Oryctolagus cuniculus: one gene and its partners. The protein of the gene in region 6 interacts with the protein of the main gene of each other region in a pairwise test. Links are inferred from orthologs where the notes say so. Each region holds a gene or a part of one and is shown on either strand. Other genes may lie near its edges.

Region 1 (4,168 bases), on a different chromosome or scaffold from region 6:
TAGTGCCGGCATTCCATATAGTCTCCAGTTCGAGTCTGGCTGCTCCACTTCCAATCCAGCTCTCTGCTATGGCCTGAGAAAGCGGTGGAAAATGGCTCAAGTCCTTGGGCCCCTGCATCTGCGTGGAAGACTGGGAAGAAGATCCTAGTTCCTGGCTTTGGATCTGCGCAGCTGCAGCCATTGCGGCCAACTGGGGAGTGAACCAGTGGATGGAAGACCTCTCTTTCTCTGCCTCTGCCTCTCTGTAACTCTGCCTTTTAAATAAATAAAACCTTAAAAAAAAAACTAAAAGCTAATCAAAACTAAAAGCTAATTAAATCTTTTTTTGAAAAAATAATCTATTTTTTATTTGAAAGGCAGAATTACAGAGAGAGATGGAAAGACAGAGAGGGAGGTCTTCCACCTGCTGGTTTACTCCCCAAATGGCCATAACAGCTGGGGCTGGGCCGATCCAAAGCCAGGAGCTTCTTCTAGGTCTCCCACGTAGGTGCAGAGTCCCAAGCACTTGGGCCAAACTCCGCTGCTTTCCCAGGTGCATTAGCAGGGAGCTGGATTGGAAATGGAGCAGCTGGGACTTGAACCGGCATTGCCTGTACTGCAGGTGGCAGCTTAACCCACTATGCCACAGTGCTGAACCCTGATTAGATCTTCAAACTAAATCTGTCACAGTTTTGACTTTTGACAGGTCTTTGTTCAGAAGCTCAGTCCAAATGAATGGCCTCCTATAAATCTTACTGAATATATTAAATCATATATATATAATGTATGTAGGTATATACATATATATTTATACACATAAGGAATATTCTCAAAGTGACTTGCTAAAGAACACAAAAATACAGTGGGTCTTCAAGAGGTTCATGGAAAATGTATATTATTATAAAAAAAACTGTCTAAATTTCAATTTTTTTTGGTGCATAAAATAACTATATTTTAATTCCCTTTTTTTCTACCAACGGTTTGAACTATCCCAGTTAAATCCCCAGGAGTGTTTGGGGAAGAAAGGGTACTGGTTCAAGAACAGTTTTCTGATTGTGAATGTTCTCAGAGCGTCCAAGAACGCTCCGGTCTCACGATTTCCTACCGTTTCAGAAACCCCATTGTCCTCCACTCAACTTGCTTCGGGCAGCCTCTTATACTTAGACACCTCTTCTAGGTGAATGGGTCTGAGCGGGGGAATAAAATAAAGGCGTTTAAAATGCCTCTCCCCCCACCCTCGTTATTTAGCCAAGGAAATGTCCTGTCATGTGACAGTAAACGAGTAATCAAGTTAGCCATTTACTCTTGACTTCAGGGGCCGTCCTGTAAAACCCCACGGGTCAGAAGAGACCCGAATTGTACTCACGTTTAAACAACTACAAGTCCCAGAAGGCTTTTCGGCGGCGGCGCCTGCGCATCGCGGGTTCTGCCCTCTTCGCTCCTGGTTGCCGGGAAAGACCCGCCCCGCGGCGCTGTCGCTCGCGTTAGAAGAAGCGGAAGAAGATGGCGCTCACCAGGTGGGTTGTTGATTTGGGTCCTTGATACGGAAGGGTCTGGTAGTGCCCCTCTTTTTCATGTCTCTGCCCCGTCGTCTCCAGCCAGGGATCTGGCTTAGGACACAGGAAGAAGAGAGCCGAGAGCTTGGCGAGGGCCTCCCGCCGGTCGCCGCGGCGGCTAGGCCTCCCCGACGCTGGGGTCTTTCCTGAGCGGCCTTGGGTTGAATTCGGCCCCTGGGCAAGGCCGAAACCCTCGGCGGGACCGCAGAAGCTGGAGAGCGGCACGTGTTTTCCGCTGAAGCCCCTTGCGGGTGTGTGGAGCGCGCGCCCTGGGGTCGGCGGCTCCGCGGGACGCGATGGCACCGTGGGGAGCGGGGCTTGCCTACGCGGGCGGAGGGAAGCGCGCGGGACGCGACTGCGCGACGCTCCGGCCGTTGTTCGCTTCTGGCTCTCTCCTTTTCTCTATCCACTCTGTCGCCCCGAACAAAGCTTCCCGAAAAGGGGGATCCGGAACTGATCGGGGAGTCTTCAGTTAGCCACAGTGGGGGCCGCTGTGTCCCCATAGGCGCCAGCGCTCCGCACTTTTAACTTTGAACCTTAGAATTTCTTCGGTGAAATCGAACCACCTTGGAGCGCTGCTGTGCCCGGTTGCCTTGGTAACCAAAGGCCAAGCGCTCCCTTCCTTTAGGAGAAAAAGATGCTCTAAGCGGGAGCTTCCGAGAAGTTACATAATTCCCTATGCGTGACCTGGCTGCCCGGTCTAAGTAGGCAAACTTTCCCCGCGAACTCATCTGGAAAAGTCGAGTGTGAAAAAATGGGCTGCAAAGGAAGCTGTCATTTTAGGGCGTGAGCTTGAGCTCCCTGACCATGCTTGGTTCTCCTCAAGCGTCTTCAGCCAGGCCGATGACACTGAATTTAAAAAAAAAAATTTACGCGACCATTCTTTTGGGAATGACGTTGAGTGCCTTGCTGTATTCAGGCGTTACGTATCCAGGAGATCTGTCTTTAGCTGCAACGCAGATGGGGCCCAAGGCATACAACTATCAAAGTGCTCATTTACATAGATGATAGTCTTAGTGCAAAAAGCAATTAGATGAAGAGAACTGCGTGGATCAAAGAGTTTGCTTTAGAAACTGTTACAGGTAGGTGCGAGGCATTGTGACATAGACAAGTAGGGTCAAGAGAAAAAGTTAGAATTTGAAGTGGATATGCAGGGAAAATACCAGGGATGTTGAGGGTATTGTGTGCTTAAAATCGCAATGGCAGAATGCAGTCTTTAAGTGGCCAGTCTTAGCAACTGTGTTGCTTTTCATATGCTATTTGTATACTTTTAATGTCCTCTATAATAAATCGGTAAACGTTTCCCTGAGTTTTGTGAGCTGGCCTAGCCAGTTGAACTCAAGGAGGGAGTTGTGGAACCCCAGTTTATACCTCGTGGGTGAGGAGTATACCCTGAGCACACTTGAAATTGGTATCTGAAGTGTGGCAGTCTTGCAAGACAGCCCTCAGGATCTGTCAGAATTGAATTGAATTGGACATTACCTGAATGTCTGGAAACTCCCCCCACATCTGGTGTCAGAAGTGTTGGGTGTGTTGTATTGGTTGATGAGTGAGAAACTTTTTCCTATACTTTTGCATTCCTATCTGTGCAGAGCTTGCCTTCTGGTTATATGAGTGAAACAAATCAATAATGCCATTTCAGGTACCAGGTACTGGGAAGACAGTAAAGGGTTGGAGGGTGACTCCAAGTTTGGAATCAAGTGGCTTTTTTGGACAAGGTGGTCACAACTTTAGGAAGGTGTAATTAGTTGAGCAAAGAGATGCGCTGCTAAATGCAGGCTGCTAAAAAGTTGGGGAAGAGTTTGCTGTAAAGGAAAATTGCTTTTAGTAAGTAAATAGACTATGTCATGGTAGAAGGAATAGCAAAGGTAAAGCTCCTGCAATGTCTTTTTAGGGAAAGATGACACGACTGTAGGGACATCAGGATGATGAGTGCGAAGTATCGAGTGAGCTATTTTCTATCTTTAAGGAGCCCCTGTTAGCTGGACAGTTACTGGGAAGTTGGGATGAAAGAAGTTAAATCCGTGGGCCCTGCCTCAAAGTTTGTGATGGTGCTGTGTGAGGATAGATGACTGCACTGCAGTGAGGTGGATATTTCTAGTGATGAAACACAGAGATACACAGAAAGTCTTTTTTTTTTGCCAGGCAGAGATAGAGTGAGAGAGAGACAGAGTTATAGACAGTGAGTGAGAGAGAGAGTTATAGACAGTGAGAGAGACAGAGAGAAAGGTCTTCCTTCCATTGGTTCACCCCCAAATGGCTGCTATGGCCGGCGCATCGCGCTGATCCGAAGCCAGGAGCCAGGTGCTTCCTCCTGGTCTCCCATGCGGGTGCAGGGCCCAAGCACTTGCGACATCCTCCACTGCCTTTCCGGGCCACAGCAGAGAACTGGACTGGAAGAGGAGCAACCGGGACAGAATCCGGCTCCCCAGCTGGGACTAGAACCTGGTGTGCTAGCGCCGCAGACGCAGGATTAGCCTAGTGAGCTGTGGTGCCGGCACACAGAAAGTCTTATGGGAACAGAGGTAGAGATAGCTAACCCAGACTGAAGAAATCATGCAACAGACAGGATGCCAGCTGGTTCAGGAATTTTTTCATTTAATACTTATAAGGTTGATAACTTTCATGATCTA
Region 2 (3,955 bases), on a different chromosome or scaffold from region 6:
ACCAGCAGCACCGACAGCGAACGTTCTGCTCACCCAGCCACAGGCTGCTTTCGATGCTATGTCTACGCACCTGAGGCTTACACACCAAAGCTGAAAGGCAGGCCTGCCCTGGATTGACTTTCTCGTGAATCATTCACTCAAGAGACAGACAGATGAAGGCAGAGAGTGCACTCCCCTGCACTGGTTCACTTCTCATACGCCCACGATGGCCGGGGTTAGGCAGGGACCAGAGCCCGGAAGGCAATCCAGGTCTCCCACAGGGATGGCAGGGGCCGGTTACTCGAGCCATCACTGCAGCCTCCTAGGATCAGCGCTGGTGGGAAGCCGGTCGCGCCACACCCAGGCACCCCGAGACAGGACACAGGGGTCTCAACCGCTAAGCTGATGCCCAGTCCTGGATTGACTGCAAACACCCAGTTCTGCCTGGAGCACCTCACGCAAGCTCTTAGGAATACTCACTGCAGATGGCGACACTCAACAGGCATGACCACACACACGGCTTCAAAACAGCTCGATACATTTATTGAGGCCTAGTCTCACGTTTGTAGAGTCCAGATTTACCCTGAAGATCGGCCTAGCCTTGTGGAGCCGCCTCGCGTCCTACCCGACCATCGACCGCTTTCTGCCCCGCAGCCGGACTTCGTCCAGCTTTCGGAGCACTGGCCTGGCCTTCCTGGAGGCGCTGGCGTAGCTCTTCAGGAAGGCCTCGAACACGGGCTCGGTGTTCGGGTGGGTGCTGAGGAAGGCCTTCTCCAGGACGTACAGGTCCACGCCCTTATCTTCCGGAAGCCCCGAGACGAAGCTCAGCCCAAAGTCGATGAGCACGATGCTCAGCTGCTCCGCCGGGGGCTTCAGGAGCATGTTGGAGGTCGTGAGGTCCCCATGGATGAGGTCTTCGTCGTGCATCCGAGCCAGCACCTGCCCGATCGCCTTGGCCAAGCCACAGAGGCTCTGGGGGGTTCCTTCAGAGTCCAGGGTGGACTGGATATAATCCCGCACCGTGACTGAGCCTTCGATTTCCTCCATGTACAAGCAGTTGGAAGCATAGTCCACGAAAAAGACCACTGGGGCACAGATGCCTGGAATCAAGACGCGGGGGGTTACTGGGTTGCATTCTTGGTTTTTTCCCTTAGTCAAGGCTTCATTTTCAAAGTTAAGTGAGTCTTCCAGTCTTTACTCACTTCAGGAAACAGCTTTAGGAAACGGCACAACTCGACTCTGGAACATTCTCGGGCTCAGGCCTGAGACCATTAAACAGCCCGGGGTAGGGGGGCCAAAGCTTCCTCCTTCCCCACACTACAACTTGGGGCTGAACCCTAGTTCTCACACCAACCTGGGAGCCAGCAGGGGAGGCCCGGCCCAGACAGAAGTTTCTGGACACAACGGAGCCCGGCAGAGTGGCCACGGGGAGGCTCATTTCGCAGTCTGTAAGGGTGGAGTCCGATCCCTGCGCTTAGCAGCGGTGCGACCTCGGTTTATGCTACTCATGGGGTCGCCACCCTCAGTGCGCACAGTCAAGGAGGCCACGTTCTAGAAACGGAGACCTCTCCCGGGGCTACAGCCCACGATCCCCGCTGCACGGCGCCTGCAGCGCAGAGAGGGGTGAACACAGACGCCCGCAGCTTCCGGAACCGCAGAAACGCCCGGGACTTGTCCGCCTGCTCTCCCCCAGCTTCCCCGCGCCTCCCAGCCCCCGACATGGCCCTGGTGTGCAGGAGGTCGGGAGGATGTGACCCGGGAAAGCTGCTGCCGCTCTCCCAGCCCCAGGTTCTCGGCTGAGGTCGGAGTTCCCGGCGGCGGGGCACAGGGGTGCTTTCATGAAAAAAATGAACGAATGAAGTCTAACACGTGCCAGGCTGACATTCAAACACAGCCGGCGACCGCTCACAGCGCCCCCGGAGGCGGGCTCCCCAGCACCGCTGCCGCCTTGCAGGCAAGGACGCCGAGGCTGCGCGAGACGCGAGCCCAGAGAGCCCGGCTGCTGTGACGGAAACCCTGACACCGCACGCGGGAAAACCCAAGGCCAAGGCGGCAAAGCAACCGTGCACCACCGAGCAACAGTCAGGGCCCAAACGCGCCAGCAACTCGCCCGGAGCGCATCGAGACCGGGCGCGAGGACGACGCGTCCCGACCGGGGGTCCGGGCGGCAGGCGCCAGTGCACCCCCAGGCCCCGGCCGCGCCGCCTCACCTGCGCGGCGGCAGCGGAGCAGCGCCCGCGCCTCCTGCACCGTCCGCCGCCGGCCGAGCCGCGCCTCCAGCGTCGGGTGCCGGTAGCCCTTGGGGAAGCGGTGCTTCACCACGGCCGCCCGGCCCTGGAAGCGGCCGCGGAACACGCGCGCCTCGGCGCCCTGCTTCACCAGCTGCAGGCCGCTCAGGAAGCGGCTGCTCCGCTCCAGGGCCGCGGCCAACGCCTCCGCCGCGGGCTCTTCGTGATTCTCTGTGGCACCAGCGTCGGGGGCCGCCATGGCAGCGCTTCCGCCCTCCCCGGAAATGCCGGCGACGCTTCCGCTCGCTCCGAAAATCCTCCGGGCTCTTCCGCCTCTCTAGCGGCTCCCCCTGCAACACTTCCGCCCTGGGAAAATGGTTCCGCCTCCCAACTTTCGGCTCCTGTCAGAGCCTTTGGTGCCCGCAGCGAACGGCTCTGTGACTCCGCCCCCAGCCCTTCGGCTATCTCCGTAAACGCTCGGCAACTCTCGGGAAATCGTTCCTCACCACTGCTCGGCACTTTCCGGAAGCCCTCGGTGACGCTGGCGAGCTGCCGGGGGCGGGGGTGCTCGGCTCCCAGTTCTTCGGCTCTTTCCGGAAAACTTCGGCTACTTTCGATTAAAACGATTTTTGGGGTGCTCTTTGCCCTTCTCAGGAGTTCCTCAGGATCCTGGAAAGCTTTGCGGCCAGTAGAGCCTTTTCGGAACTCACAAGGCTCACTGCAGTCAGAGCGGGTGCTGGGATAGCAACCACCGTTTCTCTCAGCGCCTTGGGGAATAATAAGGTTAAACGGTGGAAAACCCTCCTTACAGAAAACAGACTCAGGACTATGGTGATGGCCAGATCACTGGGGCCGAGAGGGGACAGAACCTAACTGTGTTGCAGAAATTGATGACTTTATCACAAGGCTGATAGGAGCAGTAACAGATTCTTGCTATAAAGAATTTTGCACTCAGTCATCAAAGATTGCTATACTCCTCACCAGGCCCCACAGAACTTTATATGTATCATGCCTTTCTAGATGCATTTTTAAAAGATTCGTGTATTTATTTATTTGAAATAGTTACAGAGAGAAAGGAGGAGACAGAGAGGTCTTCCACCTGCTGGTTCACTCCTCAAAAGACCATAATGGCCAGGGTTGGGCCAGGCCAAAGCCAAGAGCCAGGAGCTTCTTCCTGGTCTCCCACAGGGTGCAGGGGCCTGAAGCCTCGAGCCACCCTCTGCTGCTTTCCCGGGCCATTAGGAGGGAGCTGGATCAGAAGTGGAGCAGCAGGGACTCTAACCGGCACGCACGTGGGATGGCGGGTCACAGGCGGCAGCTTTACCTGCTACCCCACAGGGCCAGCCCCTCCACATGTTTTTATACAATGTGCATGCACACACATATCATTGTGAGGCTTCTCCCCCAACAGAAATGAGAATATGATGCACATTATTTTGCTACTTGCTTTTTTCCCCCTAAGCAGTTTGTCCCAGATAATCTTCCTTATCAGAATATCTAGAGCTGCCACATCCTTCTACAGGGTCAAACGGTTCCTTGTTGCTAAGTTTTAGTACATTTCTTATTGTCGTTTTACTTTCTCTTACGAAACGCTGCGATGAACAGGCTGATCCAGGCATCATTCATTGCAGCATGCACAAGTGTTTCTGGGGACGTCTGTCTACAAGTGATGTCACTGGGTGCAGGAGACAAGCTCTTTAAAATCCGATCCGTCAGCCAAACTGCCCTTCCAAAGGTCTGTGTCTTTT
Region 3 (3,500 bases), on a different chromosome or scaffold from region 6:
AAGTCCACACACTGTGTTTAACTCAAGTCTCTTCTAACCTAGATCTGTGTTATTTAAAACATCAGCCACTAGTCAAACATAGCTATTTAGATAACTGAAAATGAAGGGCTCTACATCATAGGACCGCATGTCAAGTGTGCCTCGTGGTTCCGCCTCTGTGCAGATGTGGGAGAGTCCACCATCAGAGAAAGTGCTGTTGCCAAGCTCTGCTCTAAAACGCTCCTTTTGCCCTTTGCTCAGTTTCGTTTTTACAATTTCTTTATTAAAGAAACTATTTGTTCTGCAGACTGCCATAACTTTTTGCTGATTTTTCTTCTTTCTTTGGAATTATTTTTTATAGTTCCCTCCCTCTACCTCAAACTAAACTAGAAGATGAATAATCATTATTCTTTTAGTGGTTAACACTACGTCTTTAACCTGCAGGTGCCTGCTTCCACATCTGTAAAACAGAAACAACACTTGAGACTGCGCTAGAGCTACGCCAACTGAGTTTATATTGAAGGCATTTACGACAGTGTTCTGCACACCTGGTGTCTTCTGCAGTTACTACCTTAGTCAGATAGCAATCATGTTTACTTTAGTTTTGCTTTTCTCTCATACAAATGCACCTCCACAGAATGGGCTGCTTACCCGGCAGCGCAGCGACCGTTTGATCAGCAGGTGCTTGTGGCGAGGATAGAGCTGCGAAGCACAGACTGGCTGGAAGTCTGGCTGCAGGAGGCGCTGCTGAAGGGTGGTCACTAGCAAGAAAGCAGAAGCCAGGCTCAGGTCACAGTGACTTTCAGAATCAGACTTAGATGTCGTCAGTAACTGCATCAAACAGTACTGCCACCATGAACAGTGACGTTCAAAAATCCACACAACAGAAATTTAACATTCAAAAATTCTCTGATGACATCTACCTCCTTATTTTCTTTCTTTCTTTCTTTTTTTTTTTTTTTTTGACAGGTAGAGTTATAGACAGCGAGAGAGAGAGAGAGAGAGAAAGAGAGAGAGAGACAGAGAGAAAGGTCTTCCTTCCGTTGGTTCACCCCCGAAATGGATGCTATGGCCTGCGTGCTGCGCCGATCCAAAGTCAGGAGTCAGGTGCTTCCTCCTGGTCTCTCATGCGGGTGCAGGGCCCAAGCACTTGGGCCATCCTCCACTGCCTTCCCGGACCACAGCAGAGAGCTGGACTCGAAGAGGAGCAACCAGGACAGAACCAGCACCCCAGCCGGGACTAGAACCCGGGGTGCCAGCGCCGCAGGCAGAGGATTAGCCTAGTGAGCCACGGCGCCAGCCCTCTCTTTTATTTCTACAAGTTGCTTTACTACCCAGAACAATCCCCTTCAATATCTCAAATCGCAATGCATGCAAGTGGTCAAAGCAGACTTAGATGCAGACTAGAAATGTACAGTAATATTTAAAGTTACCCTCTGTTAAGTTCACGGGTCTTGTATAATAGTCTTCAGGCAGAGGTTCTACTTCATCTACAGCCTGAGCCGGCTCAATCTTTATCTCTTTCTGGTCCTCTCCTTCTTTAAGGCTAAAAGATAACAAGTAGTGATTTCTCCAGGGCCCACTGATTATGCCACGTCTAGGACATCAACAACTGAAGTGTTCCTGTCACAGAGAATCTTTTCAGTTTAATATCCACACTTACGAAAGTCCAGCAAGGGTACTGATGGATGTGCCAGCTCGTGGTCGCTGAAGCCTGGTCCCAAGACCGTATTTATCCTAAACAAAGTTCAGAAATTCCTATTAGCAAGTGACGATTTATACATCCTATTTATTGAAAGATTTCTGGGTGGGAAAGCATGAGAAGCTCAGGGAATAAGCCAAAAAAAAAAAAAAAAAGCTAATTTAAAAGCTTCTTTTAGAGAGTACTTTGCAACCCCACATCATTATCCTATTCTTAAAATAATAAAGGCACCAGACAAAGAGATCGAAACTATGTTAATATAGTAAAAGTGAACTAAATGTGAGTTTTACTATTAATCTAAAAATATCTAAGCTATGGCTCAGGCAAGAACTATGCAGAATGTCTAAGACACACGACGGACATCTTCTTGGAACACCAGTGATCATCTGCTAACTTCCTCGGGATCAGCAAGAATCATAAAAGAGAACTTACCACTACATGAATAGTGTGTTGCTGTGGAGCCCCCAAATAGCAGCAGGTTGCAACGGAGACAAAAATATGCAGCATAAGATAGAAGCAAACTCATAGAGCAGGCAGGTTACATGGGAAAGTTGGAAAAATAAAGCATTTAACACGAACTTCTCTCCTAAACAGAACAGACTAGCACATACGCCGATCACACCACTGGATTATCGAGCACATCAGTGTCGGGCAAGTGCAGGTGTGTCATAACTGTCGCTGTGTAGTAAACGCTATTCCAGGCATTCTGACACAGCCTTACAATTCTTTAGGTTTCAACGGCTTAACTAATTCTCATGTGGATGCAATTTGGCAAGTTCTCATTTCCTCAAGTGTGCAACAGGGGTACACTGTACCCCAAAGACCTGTTGTGAGGATAACATGATATGTGTAAAGTGCTTGGCACAGGGTTTGACACACTGTAACCATTCAACCAATGTTATTTACTAAATATCAAACTGCTGGCCTCAAGCAAGAACACAGAAAACAAACTGTTCTGTGAGAGCAAATAAAACTTGAGGTAAGTAACAGAAACTCCAGATCCTAACCTTTAGCTTCTGACTCGTAGCAACCGGTAGGGAAAGACTTCCACAAATAATTCCTACAAAAACTCCACTCGCATATCCAAGGGTATTTCAAAAAGGTTGTTAAAAAAATGGAATTTAAAGGTAAATTTATTTTAGTGCAAAAAATTTAAAATGCATGGATATGACTAGGTAACCAAACAAGTGTGTAATGTCAGTGTTTCCATCGTGGGGACACACGGCTGCAAACGGCTACCAGCAGGCTGTCAAAGGTGGGAGACGTGGGTGACGTGAAGAGAACATACTCTGCCCATTCTCTTTTCAGACCCTCTGTCATTCACAAAAGCTGCAAGCGGGGTTCTGTGGTGTCTACACAATTAAACAGCAGCCTTTTTGGGGGGACCATCAGAAGACAAAAGGGAGTGATGGAGAAACAAACACAAATACTCTTAAAACACAAAAGAACTCAAACAGAGCTGATGACGTGGCAAAAGCAGAACTGCTGGGCTTAAACATCTGTCACTCTGAGGGACCCCTCTCTGCTACCCACCATTCAGGAATGAAGGACACGGCCACTTTCTGAAATGGTCACTATTGCTATGCCCCACAGATCTTGCAAATCCTCACCGAAAAAGCCAGAGGCATGTAGTTCCTACGTCGTGCAAGTTTCTTGCGATCTCGCTCAACCTTTTCTTTCTGAGCAAGCTGCTGGTAATATTCAATCAATTTGTTCATCTGTAAGAAATCAAAGATGCGTATTTGTTTCACAAGAAAGCTAACAAGAAACACACAAAATTAAACAATCACACTGACAGACATGTAATAGAGGAGACAAA
Region 4 (3,500 bases), on a different chromosome or scaffold from region 6:
ATGTCTGCATCCCACATCAGAGTCCTGGCTCTGGCTCCAAACTCTGGTTTGCTGCTAATGCAGATTCTTGGAAGAATCAGGTGATGGTTCAAGTAAGTGGGTTCCTACCACCCAAGTGAGAGATTTGCATTGAATCCTTAACTCCTGACTTTAGTCCTGGCCATTGTGAGTATTTGGGAAGTGAACCACTGGATGAGAGTTTTCTTTCTGTCTTTCTTCTGTCTCTCTATCTCTGTCTCTCTCCCTCTCAAATAATTTTTTAAAAGAAAACACTACTCTGTTTCCAGATGTTTGATTCTACTTTTCATATCACAGTACAAGGTTGAGAAAATGTCAGTGGAAAGATCACTAAATTGAGACTCAGGAGATTTGGCTTGTAGTTGTTGTTCTACTTTTTTGCTTCCTGGCCCAAAACAAAAGGCTGCTCATCAGCAATATAAGTATAATGATCCTCCTAAAAATTTAGCACTATCAAAGCCCCAGATGACCATAGTATGGAATACTGAATGATTGTATGATAAAGATGCTCACTATGTGTCAGATTGGATTTGAGGCAAATACAGGAACATCTGGCACATTCTCCTTCACAACCATGAGCTGAATGACAGAGTTACTCCTGGCACATTTATTCATTAAACCACCATATGGGGTTAAGATAGTGTGCACCCAAAATCAAAAGAACTCTATGCGTGCAAGACGATGGTGGTGATAGTGCTTATTTATATAAAATTACATAACGGGCTGATGTTTTGCCTAGTGGTTAAGATACTCACATTCCACATTAGTGTGTCTGGGTTCAATTCATAGCTCCTGATTCCAGCTTCCTGTTAATTCAGACCCTGAGAGACAATGCTAATGGCTCAAGTAATTAGGTTCCTGTCATCCACATGGAAGACCTAGATTGTGTTCCTGGGCCACAGATTCAGTCTGGCCCATCCCTGGCCATTGTGGGCATCTGGGAAGTGAACTAGTGGATGGAAATTCATATTCTCTCTCTCTCTCTCTCTCTCTCTCTCTCTCTCTCCGTCCCTCTGCCTCTAAAATAATAAATAAATAAATAAATTTAAATGACACGAAATCCATTATGTAAATCTTATAAATTTGTGGCATATAATAGACAATAAATGATAGTTCCTACTCCCACTTTTAAATTATTCATGGATGGTTGATCTGTGTAGCTGCAACCTCTGAGCTATCAATTTCAACTCCAAGGAAACTAATTAAAGGATGCATCAATTGATGCTCTTCTGAGATATGGTTAAGTCTTTAGCAAATAAATGAGTTGGCTTTTTTTGCACAGAAGGGGGAGACAAAGAGAGAGAAAGAAAGATAAAGAGACAGAGTTAGTCCTCATCCTCTGTCTCATTCTCCAAATGCTCACAATGGCTGGAGGGGCCAAATCTGGCAAGTGTAAACCCAATCCATTTCTCTCATATGGGTAACAGGAACCCAATTACTTGAACCCTCACTACTGTCTTTCAAAGTCCAAATTAGCAGGAGACTGGAGTCAGGAGACAGAGCTAGGGATCAAACTTCGGCACACTGATATGTGCTTCAGCTGTCCTAACAGGTCTTAACCACTATGCCAAATGCCTACCTCAGGTGGACTTTTAATTACCTACTTGACTGAATTTTGAACTCCTGCCCTTGTTCCATAATCCAGGGTCTTAAATACGTATCTTAGTCCAGATGACTTTTGAAAATGCCTCCATGCCACCTACCCCAGAACCATAGTTCCTACAAACAATGAGGACCACATTAGAGCCCTGAACCACTGAGGTGTTTTTGGCCTATGTTAGTTGTTCCTGTTTCCAAAGGCTAATGACATTCTCAGCCTCAATTTTACCTCCTACTAAGCTGTCTCTTTTGCCTCAGAATGCCGAGTCATGAAGGGAAACCCATCGGCCACAGCTGGCCCAAAGGCATCCCCAACACCTCAGAAGAGTTCAGCCAAGAGCCCCGGCCCCATGCGCCGAAGCAAGTCTCCAGCTGACTCAGGTAACGACCAAGACGGTGAGTGATCTTCTCCTAACTGTGCATGCTGACTTCACTATGTAGGCCAGTACCCTCTGCATGCAGAGGATTGTGTTCCTCATGAGTACTACTGTGTTTCCATGAGTGCAAATTCTGGTAATTCAGAGATCAAAAACTTCAAACGTTTTTGGAATCATGGAGGCACAGCGATAACCTGATTCTACTCAAATGGATGCAGACCAGAAATCTGGCCAATTTGTCCTGCTTGCTGTAATGCTCATTGTCATGATTGTCATCATTGTCATCATTCTCATTCAGCAAAAACATATTCAATGAAATGATTGAGTCAAATTTTAAATTGGAAATCCAAATGGAGAATAAGTATGTAAAAAATGACACCAATAAGTATCAACCAGGTTGATGTACTCGAGCTTCAAATTTGGCTCTGAACTACTTAGAAACCAAAACAAAAAGGAAGTCAAGTACACCAAAAATATACATAAAAGAGATAAAAGGTAGATCATATCATTCTCCCAACGGAGAAAGAAAACGTAGAACTAGTTCTGAAAGAAAACAGTAAGATTTGTCATAAAGATTGTATTTAATGGATAGTGAGTTATCTAAAAAATGTGTTCTATGGATAACCGCCAACCCATGAACTATTTGTTAGCAGTCAGTCTGTGATGAGATTAGTAGCTTGTGCCAAATGTAAATCAACTATGCCACTAGGCAAACTATTTAGTTCAGTTTATATTTCTTGAGAGCACAATTTTATTGATAAAGGCAACAGTGTGTTCATTCATGCACTGGCTCAAACTCTTTATCTTTTCTTGGACTCACAGTTTGAGTGGCATTGATCTAAAGGGCAATGTTTTCTAATTTTTTATTAAAAATAAAGGACCACAGAAGCCCAAGTTCATAAGTTTAGCATACATGCACAGAAAATGTGAGTTCTTCATATTAAGGGCATTTTATGGTCCAGAGGACTTAAACATTTATCTTGGCAAGGTTCAGGATTCATCATGAGAACTCTACTAGCCTAAGAGCCATGGGGAAGTCAAGCACCTTCCATCTGGGGCAACTTGAGCGGCCTGTTGGCTTTGAAATTCCTGTGCCTGGTACAACAGCCTGCTAGGAGTATGCATATCACCAGCCACTAATTTATACTCAGGCAGGGGGAACTAAATTATAAAAAGATAGCCTCATTTTTTCATTCTTACATACTTTCATACTTTGCACATCCTGTTGTCTCACTCCTGGAATGCCATTCCTCTGACCTGCCACTTGTCTTTGCTTGAAAACTGATGTTCATACTTCAAGACCTCTCATAGAGTAGAGATGGCTGTTCTGTTCTCTGTAATATCACAGCATATCATTCATATCTCTGGGATAATATTCGCCAGACTGTGTTGCAAAATGTGTATTTGTTTGTCTGCTTCCCCAACTAGATACCAAGCCCCTCAAAGAAACAAGTCATTACCTTTATTTTTGTATGCTCAGTGCTAAGCACAGTGCCTGACCCCTAG
Region 5 (3,500 bases), on a different chromosome or scaffold from region 6:
ATAAGAAAGTGTGGAAGCAGGGTTTTGGCCTACCAGTTAAGATGCCAACTGAGACACCCACAAAATGCTGTAAAAATGTCCCAGAGAGGATTTTCTAGCTTCACTTCCTGGCTCCAGCTCTTGAATCCAGCTTCCTACTAATGCAGACCTGGATGGCAGCAGTAATGGCTACTTGGGTTCTTGCTATCCACGTGGGAGACCCGGCTTGAGTTTCAAGCCAACCATACTGCCTCAAGCTTTTGGAATTCAACCAAAAGACAGAGGCTCTTACTCTGTCTACCTCTCTAATCAATAAAAATTTAAAAAACAAAAACAGTCTAGACTATAAAGCCCTGGAGCTGGTGTTATGGTGCAGCAGGTTAAGCCACTGACTGCTATGCAGGCACTCCATATGTGTACTGGTTCAAGTCCCTCTCTCCTTCTAACTCTGCCTTTCAAATCAATCAATCTTTGGAAGAAAAGAGACTAGCCCTGCCTACCTGTCCAGTCTTACCTCTTACTACTCCCTAAAGCCCCAGTCACCGTTCTTCAGTCATACCCAGTTCCGTGAAATCCTCACAAACACCCTGATTTCTCACGCCACTGCGCCTTTGCATACACGGTTTCGGCTGCCTACTCTCCTCTGTTTCTGGAACACTGAGTTACATCATGTGCAAAGCAATGTCAGGTCCTCAGCCTATCTTTGAGCTCCTTGAGGGCATTTTTCTTTGACTCTTCAATACCCAGGTAAGGTCTGGTGCACAAAGCTGCACATTGGACTGGATGAGTTAAGGGACTTGTGTGTTAAGTTTCAAAGTGAGAGGTTCACAGCAGAAATGGGGCTTGAAATTACAGACTATCTTGAAAATGGAAATCAGACTCATGCGTCCAAGGCTGAACTCTTTGTACATATCTTTAATGAGCTCGTGTTAATTCAAATATTACAAAAGACTATTTTTTAAAAGGAAATTATTTATTTATTTGAAAGCCAGAGAGAGGGAGAGGGAGAGAGAGAGATCTTCCATCTGCTGTTTTATTTTCCAAATGGCCACAACGGCTGGAGCTGGGCCTCTCCAAAGCCAGGAGCCAGGAGCTTCCTCCAGGTCTCCCATGCGGGTACAGGGACCCATGCCCTGGGGCCCTCCTCTGCTATTTTCCCAGGCCATTAGCAGAGAGCTGGATAGGAAGTAGAGTAGCCGGGACTCGAACAAGTGCCCATGTAGGATGCCAGCGTTGCAAGTTGGGGCTTTACCTGCTATGCCACGACGTTGGCCCCTATTAAAGTCTTTTACAATTAAACCACTGGGGGCCCGCGCTGTGGCGTAGTGGGTGAAAACATTGCCTATAGTGCCTACATACCATATGGACACTGGTTCAAGTCCTAGCTGCTCCACTTCTCATCCAACTCTGCTAATGGCCTGGGAAAGCAGAAGAAGATGGCTCAGGTTCTTGGGCCCCTGCTACTCATGTGGGAGACCAGATGAAGCTCCTGGCTCAGATCTGGCCCACCCTTGGCCATTGAGGCTACTTAGAAAGTAAATCAACGGATAGAAGATTCTCTCTCTGTTTCTCTCTCACATGCTCAGTAACTCTGACTTTCAAATAAATAAATCTCAAGAAAAAAAAAAAAACTTTAATATTCATCATTTAAAATGGCCCAGTCTAAACATTTTGATATGTATGCCCACAGGTCGATGAGTGGTGAGTCAGAGAGAAAATAACCAAACAGCTGCTACAAGGCCCTCAAAGCAAGAGGTTATCTCATAAGCTGGTAAACTGTTAAATATTATACATAAATCCCACCTCTGTATCTCATTAAGAATACAAAAGAATAGTTGAGAAAATACTGTGAAATAATTGTGTCTCTCACTTGTAAGTATATATTGTATTTTACAGTCCACAAATAACACTGAGTCCACACTTACCTCGAAGAGACACTGGGAACATCTTCCCTGACGATCACTGGCTGAACATCCTTTAAATTTAATTTATTGTGGTACAGTTTCTCTAATTTTGCCATAGTTTCCATGTGGGCAGCCTTCAGCTCATCTAGTTTCCTGAAATACTCGTCATTGGAGTGGTAAATGTCAGAAAAGTTTACAAAGTCCTCATAGCTCATACCACTATCCACCCCAGAGAAGTTGGTGTTAAAATCAACCTGTGGGAGAAAACACTCATGATATAATGTTTGTGTGTGAAAGACAAATTCAGTTAACACTGATCCAAATTCTGCTCCCATGTTGTTGTTGTTGTTGTTGTTAAGATCTATTTCTTTATTTGAAATCAGAGTTACAGAGAGAGGGAGAGACAGAGAGAGAAAGAAATCTTCCATCTGCTGGTTCACTCCCCAGATGGCTGAAACCAGGAGCCTGGAACTCCATCCAGGTCTCCAGCATGTGTGGCAGGGGCCCAGCTACTTGGGCCATCTGCTGCTGCTTTCCCGGGTGCATTAGCAGGCAGCTGTATCATAAGTGGAGTACCTGGGACTCAAACCAGTGATCACATGGGATGCCAGTGTTGCAAGTGGCAGCTTAACACACTACTACAATGCTGGCCCCCAAACACTGCTTCTTAAAGGGTCCAACTAGTTAGGCTATCAGTTACTTGTGGGATATGTAAATTTACCCTTAGTGATATTTTAAGAACAAGAGGCAGTGAGACTGAACTGCCAGGAAATAATATTACTTAATCCATTTTATAAAGAATGGTTAGATTCCCAGATCAATCAAAAAAAAAAGCTATTTAATCCATTATGTTCATTTAATCATAGGATAGAACCAAACCACCCTTCACAAAGAGCTTCTTAAGGAGCCTCCTTCTGGGCTGCGAGTTTCAAGCGAGATGACAAGGGAACACAGGTCCACCTGCTGTAAACCAAGCCACCACAGCTCAGTGCCTTCCCCGGAGCCAGGCTCCTGCCATGTGGCTTAAAGGGTGCCCCCGTGGAGAAGGCAAGGGAATGGGGCAGACATAGTTCTCAGTGGTGTATCGAGAAGCCAGCAGTGGGGTGAGACTTCAGACCAGAGTCAGGGGTCATGGGGAGGCACAGGAGGGATTTTCACCAAGCCACTCCAGCAGGCATGACAAGGACTGGAGAGAGAGAACAGACAAGGGCAACACATGGTTGTACTTAATATACAAGTCATGCCTGGAAGGGTCTGCCTGGAACCTTTCCCTCACTCCTTTCCATGCTTTCAATTGAAGCAACTAAGGAGATAAAACACCATTTTCTCCATGGATATAAAAATTGTTAACATGTTCTCAGTTGAGAAACAGTTGAAATTATTTATGATACTATGCATAAAAGGCTGCCAACCCTGGTTTTAAATTTAGCCTACTGCCTGGAACAGACTCAGAACAAAAAAAGCCTATTTGCTAAAGAGAATTATGGATCCTTAGGGCTGGTGCTGTGGCGTAATGGATAAAACTGCCACCTGCAATGCTGGCATCCCATTTGGGTGCTGATTCGAGTCCTGGCTGCTCCACTTCTGATCCAGCTCTCTGCTTGTTTCCTGGGAAAG
Region 6 (3,174 bases):
TCCAGCTGCGCACCTGCTCACGCACTGCCAACTTTGTCCTTTTCCCCGTGCAGACAACTGTCAGAGGAGAACGCTAATCTGCAGGAATATGTGGAGAAGGAGACCCAGGAGAAGAAGAGACTGAGCCGAACCAACGAGGAGCTGCTTTGGAAGCTGCAAACCGGGGATCCGACCAGCCCGATTAAACTCTCCCCAACGTCTCCAGTTTACCGAGGTTGCGCCTCCTCGGGGCCCTCCTCTCCAGCCAGACTCAGCACGACGCCCAGATGACGTCACCACGCAGCCTAGGGGAGCTCCGGCTTCCGGTCCACCGCGAGGGCGGACTGACCCGGGGCCCGGCCCGGAGCCGGCCCAAGCGCGCATGCTCAGTAGCTGCATCCTGCCTCGTAGGCCGCGTCCTCTGCCCCCCACCGTGTGAGACTGTCCTGGTGTTGTTGGCATTTAGGAAGGTGTGTGATGTGCAAGCGTTTTACCATAGTTAGCGCCAAAAGAAAGACAACTCCAGTTCTCGAGGGAACTTCCACTGCAGAATTTCAGGTCACAAAAAGCTCAATTTTCAATATACACTCAGCAATCGTTGTGTACTGCACCGAGATGTGTGTGTATTTAGATACACGGATATACACATGCGGCGGTTCTCAGTTGCATTTTTTTATAACGTCAAGTGCTGACATATTTTAGTCACGGTCAGCAGTTTTCTAACTCGTGCCTAAGAATTATTGGGAAATGACAATGCATTTCTATCTAGTTTCCCAGGAATATTTCTACCCAAAATAGAAAAAGGAAAAAAAAAAAAAAAACCATACGGAGCAAAAGCGCCTTTGAACCTACCACCAAGTGGTACTCTATCTAGCATAAACACCAGCCATCTGTGAACGGTAACCGCCTTCGTGAGAGTCAGCGTCTCAGGCCGTCCCAGGTGAGGGCTCCACTCGCAAGGTCTAGTTAGGAGCCGCTCTGCCCTGCGTGGAAAGCCCAGGGGAATCCGCCGCTTTGCAGGTGTTCCGCACCACAGTGACTCAGCTACCGTCTCCTGAGCACAGGTCTTGTGGCATCTCAGAATCGAGCTGTAAACTTTCGGGATCCTTGAGAGAGAGAGAGAGGGTGAGGGTGACCCTGGAGGTGACCGAGACCCTTGGTGCACCATTCCTTAGGAAGGGAAACTGGCAAGCGACGGGGCCTCTGTCTGGACCAGGCTTGCTGCGAGGCTGTTGCTAAATGCGCTCAATTCATTGGAAGCCGATCTCAGACTTGCATTTCCTAGGTAGGTTCCCCACTTCAGTTTGGTTCAGCGACTCGGCTCCGTCACTGCACATGAAGGTGGCTCAGGGGTTCCGGCAGAGGCTTCCAGAAAAGTCATTCTTTCTGGTGGGTGGCCAAGCAGTGCTCCCCCCTCCCCCACACAGTGGTCCTGTCTCCGGCCGAGAAAGCTCCCGGACCGGGGCCGGGGCGCAGTGGCACAGCCGGTGAGGGCTCCCTGGCCACCGGCCTGGCGTCTGTCTGGGACACGATAGCGTTAGGATACAAAGAGGCACCCCCGTGGCAGAGTGGAAGACACAAGTGACAGAAGTAGTTTTGACCGTCAGTGGGGGTGATGGCGCCTTTTGTCTAAGACCCTGTACACCTCTCCCAAAGACCCCTAAAAATCGCCCTGAGCGTAGGCTGGGCTGAGCACACCCAAGGCACGAAGTTCCAGGCAGGGGTCTTGCGAGGGCTCAGAACCGGGGACGGCAGGCAGGAGGCCTCGCAGGGGCGTGCCCAGAACGCGCAGGAGGCCACGCAGGGGCGTGCCCGGAACGCGCGTGTGGCTTGCGTTGGTGACATGAGCCCGGGGGTCGGGCTTCCTGGCCTGGGGGCACATCTCGTTTTCTCTCAACCCTGCAGGGGCCCTGCCCGTGCTGGGGACACCCACGGTAGATAGGCATTGAAGACACATTTCTTTTTGCTTCTGTGGCTCTGCATGCTGCTGTAATGTTGGGGTTGGGCATCCTGTTAGAGTAGATCCTGCCATGATTATTTATTCTCTCGGCGGGCGCAGGCTGCCAACAGCAGCTAGGCTGCAGCTTCGCTGTCTTGCGTAACCGCCGCCTGCCAAACGCAGTCACCCAGCGATACAGACTCCCCCGCGATGTTAGCGTGTGGTGCTGTGTGTTAGGCTGTGCGCTCAAAGTTGTAGCGATGGTAGCGCTAAGTAATCCCTCACCCACCCGGTGGACCAGACCTTTGCCCTGGACAGCCGTGACCTTGGGGTTGAGCTGATGTCCACATGACCCTGGCTTTGTTTTTTGCTTCATGGACGCCCATCACGTCTAGCTCTTCATCTGAGTCATTTCTGTTTCCGAAACACATGGGACAACAGCTAGTGCTGCTGCGCCCCCTCCTGGACATTCCCCTCTGAACACACACAATTAGGACTGGGACTTCTCTCTGCCTCTGTCTCCATTCCCAGCTCGGGGGCAGGGGCCCTTCTCAGACATAGACGCTGCAGCAGGAAAGCCCTGTCTCGTAGCAATCAGGAGACGTGACCGTGGCCTGGGTGTCAGCCTGGGGCGGGAGTGGGATGGAGGTCTGGCACTCTCTGGGATTAGTCGAATGGGGTCACCGCGTTCCTCCTCCCTTCAGTTTCTGTGTTAACGTATCTGTGTTTAAAGCCTATTAAAATGAACATGAGGGACTTTCTGTGATATGCACTTGGTGTCACTGGAGACCTGACCCTCAGGCCGGAGAGTCCAGGCAGGGAGGTGTTGGCAGGCTGGGTTCCTTCCTGTGTGTGTGTGTGAGCACATGCGGGGGCACCTGATTGTCACTGAGAGCAACCCTGGAGACCTCCTCTCCGACCGGTGAATTCTTCAGCAGCGCAAACCGCGGCCTTGGGGGCTCAGTGGCTCCACTCGGCGGGGCAAGGTGGGCTGGTGTGGGTTGGAGGGACACAAGTGGCTGAACACAGTCCCCGCACTATGAGGTTCAAGGTCAGACCTTGATGGCTGTCCTGCACGAAGCTCATGGAAAATGGAATTAAAATATTAATTTATTGGGGCATAAATTTTTTGAAATCCATGCATATGAAGTGTCTTCAAAAACCCACAAAAAGTGTACATTATTAAAGTCATAAACTATGCATAGATTTCACAAATTTCTCACCTGTTTTCACCTGCAAGTGCTCGCTCCTCTCAT
Region 7 (4,287 bases), on a different chromosome or scaffold from region 6:
CAGCTTTGGCCCAAGTCCCCTCCCCTGCCCCACACCTGTCTGTTCCCTGCAAAACCTTTCCCTGCATCCCTGGCCACGCTCCCGGTCCCTTTGTACCACCTGCCCTGAGCCGCCACCGGGCCTTAACAGACCTCCACAAACTTGGGACTGGATCCGTAACCCTTCTCTCCCGCTGGGGGTGCCATCCCCACCCTGCCTGTCTGGAGGAGGCCAGGGTGTCAGGGGAGGCACTTCCCCTTCTAGATGAGACTAGCACCCTGGGTGCTCCACTCCAGGCTCACTGGCCCTGGGACCCAGGTTTGAGTGTATCAGGTCTTCATCTGGGGATGCATTTCATTCGTTCATTCACTCCCCTTGTGAGCACAAACCATGGACCAATGCAAGGGATGGGGACCCAGGGGGAGGCCACACAGACGCAGACACTGCCCTCCTGGTCATGGGGGCATGGGGGATGGGGGTAGGGAGCATACTCTCAGGACCTCCATTGCCAGAGCCACTGTTTGCCCAGGGCACATCTTGCAGAGCCAATGGTGTCTCTGTTGGAAATAGAAAACAACGCCTGGGGCGGGCGCTGTGGCCTAGCGGATAAAGCCACCGCCTGGCGTGGAGACCCTCGAGTCCTGGCTGCTCCTTTTCTTATCCAGCTCTCTGCTATGGCCTGGGAAAGCAGTAGAAGATGGCCCAAGTCCTTGGGCACCTGCACCCATGTGGGAGACCCAGAGGAAGCTCCTGGCTCCTGGCTTCTGGCTTTGGATTGGCCCAGCTCTGGCCCTTGTGGCCAATTGGGGAGTGAACCAGCGGATGGAGGGCCTCTCTCTGCCTCTGCCTCTCTGTAACTCGGCCTTTCAAATAATAAATAAATCTTAAAAGAAAAAAATAGAAAACAACGCCTTTCCCAGCTAGGAGCAGCTTACACCAAAGTACGGGACGGTGAGTAGAGGCAGGCTGGATGTCACGCCTTGCTTCATCTTGTGCAGTAAACAACCTGGACAGCCCTCCATGGCACACCTTGCGAAAACTTTCCGGAATCATCACCCCAGGCCTCGCATGCCCTTCACTCTGCAGGGCAAGTGTTTCCATGACTTTTGCTTCCAGAAGGCGGGACCAGCCCCTTCCTGGAGCTGTGTTCCTCCACCCACCCCAGCCCAGCTCAGGGTCTGGCCCCAAGCAGATGTCAGCATATGTTTGCTGGCCCGAATCCTTCACCAAGCAAGTGTTGAGCAACTGCTCTCTTCCTGCTCCTCACTCTGTTTAGGGGAAGGAGGGGAAGACACACAGGAGCAGGCCCTTGCTTTCCAAGCCAGGAGGGAGATAAACCGTGGTAGCAGAGAGCCTGGGAGATAAGAGTGGAGGAGGTGTCAACCCAGGCCTGTGGCCCCAGTCCTCGGGCCTGGCAGGCTGTTGAGCAAGGCCTGAAAGGACAAGTGTGTGCTCGCCACTCTGCCAACGCTGACGACAGTCACTAACCCAAAATATCCGGTCCTCTGTGCATCCAGCCCCAGGGGTTCCTGGGCCTCCCCTGCCCCCACCCCAGCATGGCAAACCCTGCCCCTTGTCTGAAAAAGAGGGGTTCAGAGAGGCCAAGGAAACTGCCTGATGCCACACAGCCAGGGGTGGAAGGGTCCAATTTTCTTGCACCTGTTTTTCCATAAAGACAACCCAGAAAGCAGAGGGTTCCCTGGGATCTGGCAGGTGGAGGCGGTCAGGCAGGTGCCCCGGGCCCAGCAGGCAGGGAGGGAGGGAGGAATAGAAGGTGATGGGGCTGCCGCTGTGGCGCAGAGGGTTAAAAGCCCTGGCCTGCAGTGCTGCCATCCCATACTGCTGGTTTGAGTCCTGGCTGCTCCACTTCTGATCCAGCTCCCTGCTAATGCGCCTGGGAAAGCAGCAGAGCATGGTCCAAGTCCTTGGGCCCCTGCACCCACATGGGAGACCCTGCAGAAGGTCCTGGCTCCTGGCTTCAGGCTGGCTCAGCTCTGGTCATTGTGGCCATTTGGAGAGTGAACCAGTGGATGGAAGACCTCTCTCTCTCCCTCTCTCTCTCTCTCTCTGTAACTCTTTCAAATAAATAAAATAAATTAAAAAAAAAAAGAAAGAAAGCGTGCAGGCGAGTCTCTGCCCACTGGCCACTGCCCTCCCAGCCTTCTTCCCTCTGTCCGGTCACCCCCTTCTCACCCACGGCTGAAGGCAGATGCAGAGCAGGAGACCCTCAGCCTGGCTGCCCCATGCCCTGACTCTTAGATCTGACCTCAGCTCACTGGGTGACCCAGGGCCAGTGTCCTGCCCTCTCTGAGCCCCATTCCCTACCTGCTGGAGAAGACAATCAAGACCACCCCCCAACCCCCACCCCCGCCTCGGAGCTGATCTTGTAGGAGACTCAGGCAATTCTCCTGATTCCTGTGCCTGGCACCTGGCACCTGGCACCTCATCCCTGCCGTGCCCCCTCCCCCTGGGGGTGACGCGATCCCCCTGCCCCCACCCGACCCAAGTCCCTGGCTCACCTGTCTGTGCCCCAGAACTTTTCGCCCAAGCTCCCCTCCAGCGCAGGGCCCAGGCCTGATGGGGCATAGCGGACGGCCCCTGAACTCATGGCCAGGAACACTGGGCATGAGCCTCTGGCGGGGCACCCGGAGGGCTCCTCGGTGGTGTCGTCCATGCGTGAGGAGCCAGCCAGAGGGTCTCTCCGGAGACCGGCAGGAGGGCAGGTGGCAGAGCCTTCTCTGCAGACTGGCCAAGCCTTACACTAACCTTTGCTATCTCTTGGGAACAGCTGCCTGGGAGGGAGGCGCCTCCCAGACAGGCCTCTGCCTCCTTCAACCCCTAATTATTAACTCCCGCGGCTCAGCAGGGCGGCACAAGTCCCTGGGGCCAACCTACTCAACCTACTGGGCTCTGGGCTGGGGAAGGCGAGACACTTCTGGGGGGAGGTCGGGAGGTCGGAAGCTTTTCCAGGAGCCTGGGACCCCAGGCTTCAGCCAGGCCCCCGATGGGGCGCTTGTCTCCACTTCACCGAGGTTGTGGCTTTGGAAAGTCTGGTCCCGCCCTGGTCCTGTCATGGGACCAGGCCTTGCACAGGCCCTTCCCCCACTACCCCCGGCCTCAGATCCCCCTGCAGCTCAGTGTAGCGGTAGAGACCACAGATCTGGAGTCGGACAGGCTGTTTTAACTCCCCTTCTCGTCTACGAAGCTTTGGGCAGGTTAGCGTCACCATGCCTCAGTTTCCCCAACTGTCAAGTGGTGCCTCACCCTCTGAGGCACCCCCGGCCAGCTGCCATTGCCCCGACATGCCTCATCTGCAGCCTCCATGCCTTCCCACCCTCACTGATTAACTCCTCTCTGGCTCATGCCCCTTCCTCCAGGAAGTCTTCCCATGTGGATTGCCTGCTTCCTCCGCAGGCACTGGACTAGAGCCCAAGGACATGTGGTTAGCTTTGTCAGGAAACTTCTGGACACCCCCAAGCAGCACAGAGTGACCCTCAGCCAGAGGCTGGCCGGCCCCTGTCACCAGTCCCATCTCAGTGCCCCCTGGGCTGGCTCAGGGTCTGCCTCCAGCCAGCTGTGGCTTGGCTGCAACGCGCCACCTTGCCGCCCTTGGCCTGAATTCTGATCCCAGTCCTTGCTGTGTGACTTTGGGCAGCTCACTTAACCTCTCTGGGACTCAGCCAGCCATTGTGAGTGTCCAAGAAGACGCGTTTGCTAAGAGTCTGCCTACGGGCAGGCTGCACGGGAACTTGCCTTTCCCCTTCTCTCTCCTGCTTTCTCGTCTGCCTGCCCGGGTCCCTGCTGGGGAGCAGCTCTGGTCCCCCAACAGCGCCACACCCTGTCCGCTGGACAACACCACGCCCCTCGGGGCTTTGGGCTTCGGAGCTTCTCCGCCTAATGCAAACCAGATGCTGGCCTCCCTTTCCCAGCAGCGAATTTTCCATGGCTGGCTCCCACCCCCTTCCTGTTTTTGCTCCTCGCGGGTCCCCTTGCTAAATTCCCCCATGGCCCCACCTTCCTCTGCCAGGCTCAGACCTCAGGTTCACCTGGAAACAATGAATGGAAAAAACAGGATGTGGGGGGGAGGGGTCTCCCCATCACCCCGAGATAGCAGGAGGGGAGGGGGCTCAGGCCGGCTGGTGGAAGTGGATGGGAATCAGTGTCCTCCCTGCCAAGCCCCATCCAGCCCCTCAGGGGTGGGGGAGGGAAGATGGACGTCTCTGGACATTTGGACACAGCTGGGCTGTGACGTCCGAGAGATCTGATTCACTGGTGAGCCAGGGTCAAGGCGCGCTGGGGTCTCGCACA

Evidence for each region.
Region 1: the proteins of MTUS2 (region 6) and SNW1 interact in binary tests that used the Homo sapiens proteins (3 or more experiments, as listed by UniProt). The two-hybrid records come from large-scale screens. The link is inferred for Oryctolagus cuniculus from reciprocal best matches to the Homo sapiens genes MTUS2 and SNW1.
Region 2: the proteins of MTUS2 (region 6) and TP53RK interact in binary tests that used the Homo sapiens proteins (3 or more experiments, as listed by UniProt). The two-hybrid records come from large-scale screens. The link is inferred for Oryctolagus cuniculus from reciprocal best matches to the Homo sapiens genes MTUS2 and TP53RK.
Region 3: the proteins of MTUS2 (region 6) and DCTN4 interact in binary tests that used the Homo sapiens proteins (3 or more experiments, as listed by UniProt). The two-hybrid records come from large-scale screens. The link is inferred for Oryctolagus cuniculus from reciprocal best matches to the Homo sapiens genes MTUS2 and DCTN4.
Region 4: the proteins of MTUS2 (region 6) and DCX interact in binary tests that used the Homo sapiens proteins (3 or more experiments, as listed by UniProt). The link is inferred for Oryctolagus cuniculus from reciprocal best matches to the Homo sapiens genes MTUS2 and DCX.
Region 5: the proteins of MTUS2 (region 6) and FAM161A interact in binary tests that used the Homo sapiens proteins (3 or more experiments, as listed by UniProt). The two-hybrid records come from large-scale screens. The link is inferred for Oryctolagus cuniculus from reciprocal best matches to the Homo sapiens genes MTUS2 and FAM161A.
Region 7: the proteins of MTUS2 (region 6) and RAB3IL1 interact in binary tests that used the Homo sapiens proteins (3 or more experiments, as listed by UniProt). The two-hybrid records come from large-scale screens. The link is inferred for Oryctolagus cuniculus from reciprocal best matches to the Homo sapiens genes MTUS2 and RAB3IL1.

The regions. Positions count from the first base shown.
Region 1 is NC_091451.1:23,450,505-23,454,672, reverse strand, and holds the start of SNW1 (SNW domain-containing protein 1), read left to right. Parts: upstream 1-1,368; 5' UTR 1,369-1,482; coding exon 1,483-1,496; intron 1,497-4,168. UniProt on the Homo sapiens protein: Involved in pre-mRNA splicing as component of the spliceosome. As a component of the minor spliceosome, involved in the splicing of U12-type introns in pre-mRNAs.
Region 2 is NC_091442.1:12,878,750-12,882,704, reverse strand, and holds TP53RK (EKC/KEOPS complex subunit TP53RK), read right to left. Parts: upstream 2,519-3,955; 5' UTR 2,467-2,518; coding exon 2,190-2,466; intron 1,080-2,189; coding exon 601-1,079; 3' UTR 501-600; downstream 1-500.
Region 3 is NC_091437.1:37,940,892-37,944,391, forward strand, and holds part of DCTN4 (dynactin subunit 4), read right to left. Parts: intron 3,400-3,500; coding exon 3,292-3,399; intron 2,135-3,291; coding exon 2,114-2,134; intron 1,717-2,113; coding exon 1,643-1,716; intron 1,526-1,642; coding exon 1,413-1,525; intron 741-1,412; coding exon 631-740; intron 1-630. UniProt on the Homo sapiens protein: Part of the dynactin complex that activates the molecular motor dynein for ultra-processive transport along microtubules.
Region 4 is NC_091453.1:82,194,930-82,198,429, forward strand, and holds part of DCX (neuronal migration protein doublecortin), read left to right. Parts: intron 1-1,875; coding exon 1,876-2,013; intron 2,014-3,500. UniProt on the Homo sapiens protein: Microtubule-associated protein required for initial steps of neuronal dispersion and cortex lamination during cerebral cortex development. May act by competing with the putative neuronal protein kinase DCLK1 in binding to a target protein.
Region 5 is NC_091433.1:140,953,143-140,956,642, reverse strand, and holds part of FAM161A (protein FAM161A), read right to left. Parts: intron 2,138-3,500; coding exon 1,905-2,137; intron 1-1,904. UniProt on the Homo sapiens protein: Involved in ciliogenesis.
Region 6 is NC_091440.1:85,068,008-85,071,181, reverse strand, and holds the end of MTUS2 (microtubule-associated tumor suppressor candidate 2), read left to right. Parts: intron 1-53; coding exon 54-270; 3' UTR 271-2,674; downstream 2,675-3,174. UniProt on the Homo sapiens protein: Binds microtubules. Together with MAPRE1 may target the microtubule depolymerase KIF2C to the plus-end of microtubules. May regulate the dynamics of microtubules at their growing distal tip.
Region 7 is NC_091432.1:10,248,226-10,252,512, reverse strand, and holds the start of RAB3IL1 (guanine nucleotide exchange factor for Rab-3A), read right to left. Parts: upstream 2,801-4,287; 5' UTR 2,654-2,800; coding exon 2,499-2,653; intron 1-2,498. UniProt on the Homo sapiens protein: Guanine nucleotide exchange factor (GEF) which may activate RAB3A, a GTPase that regulates synaptic vesicle exocytosis. Promotes the exchange of GDP to GTP, converting inactive GDP-bound Rab proteins into their active GTP-bound form.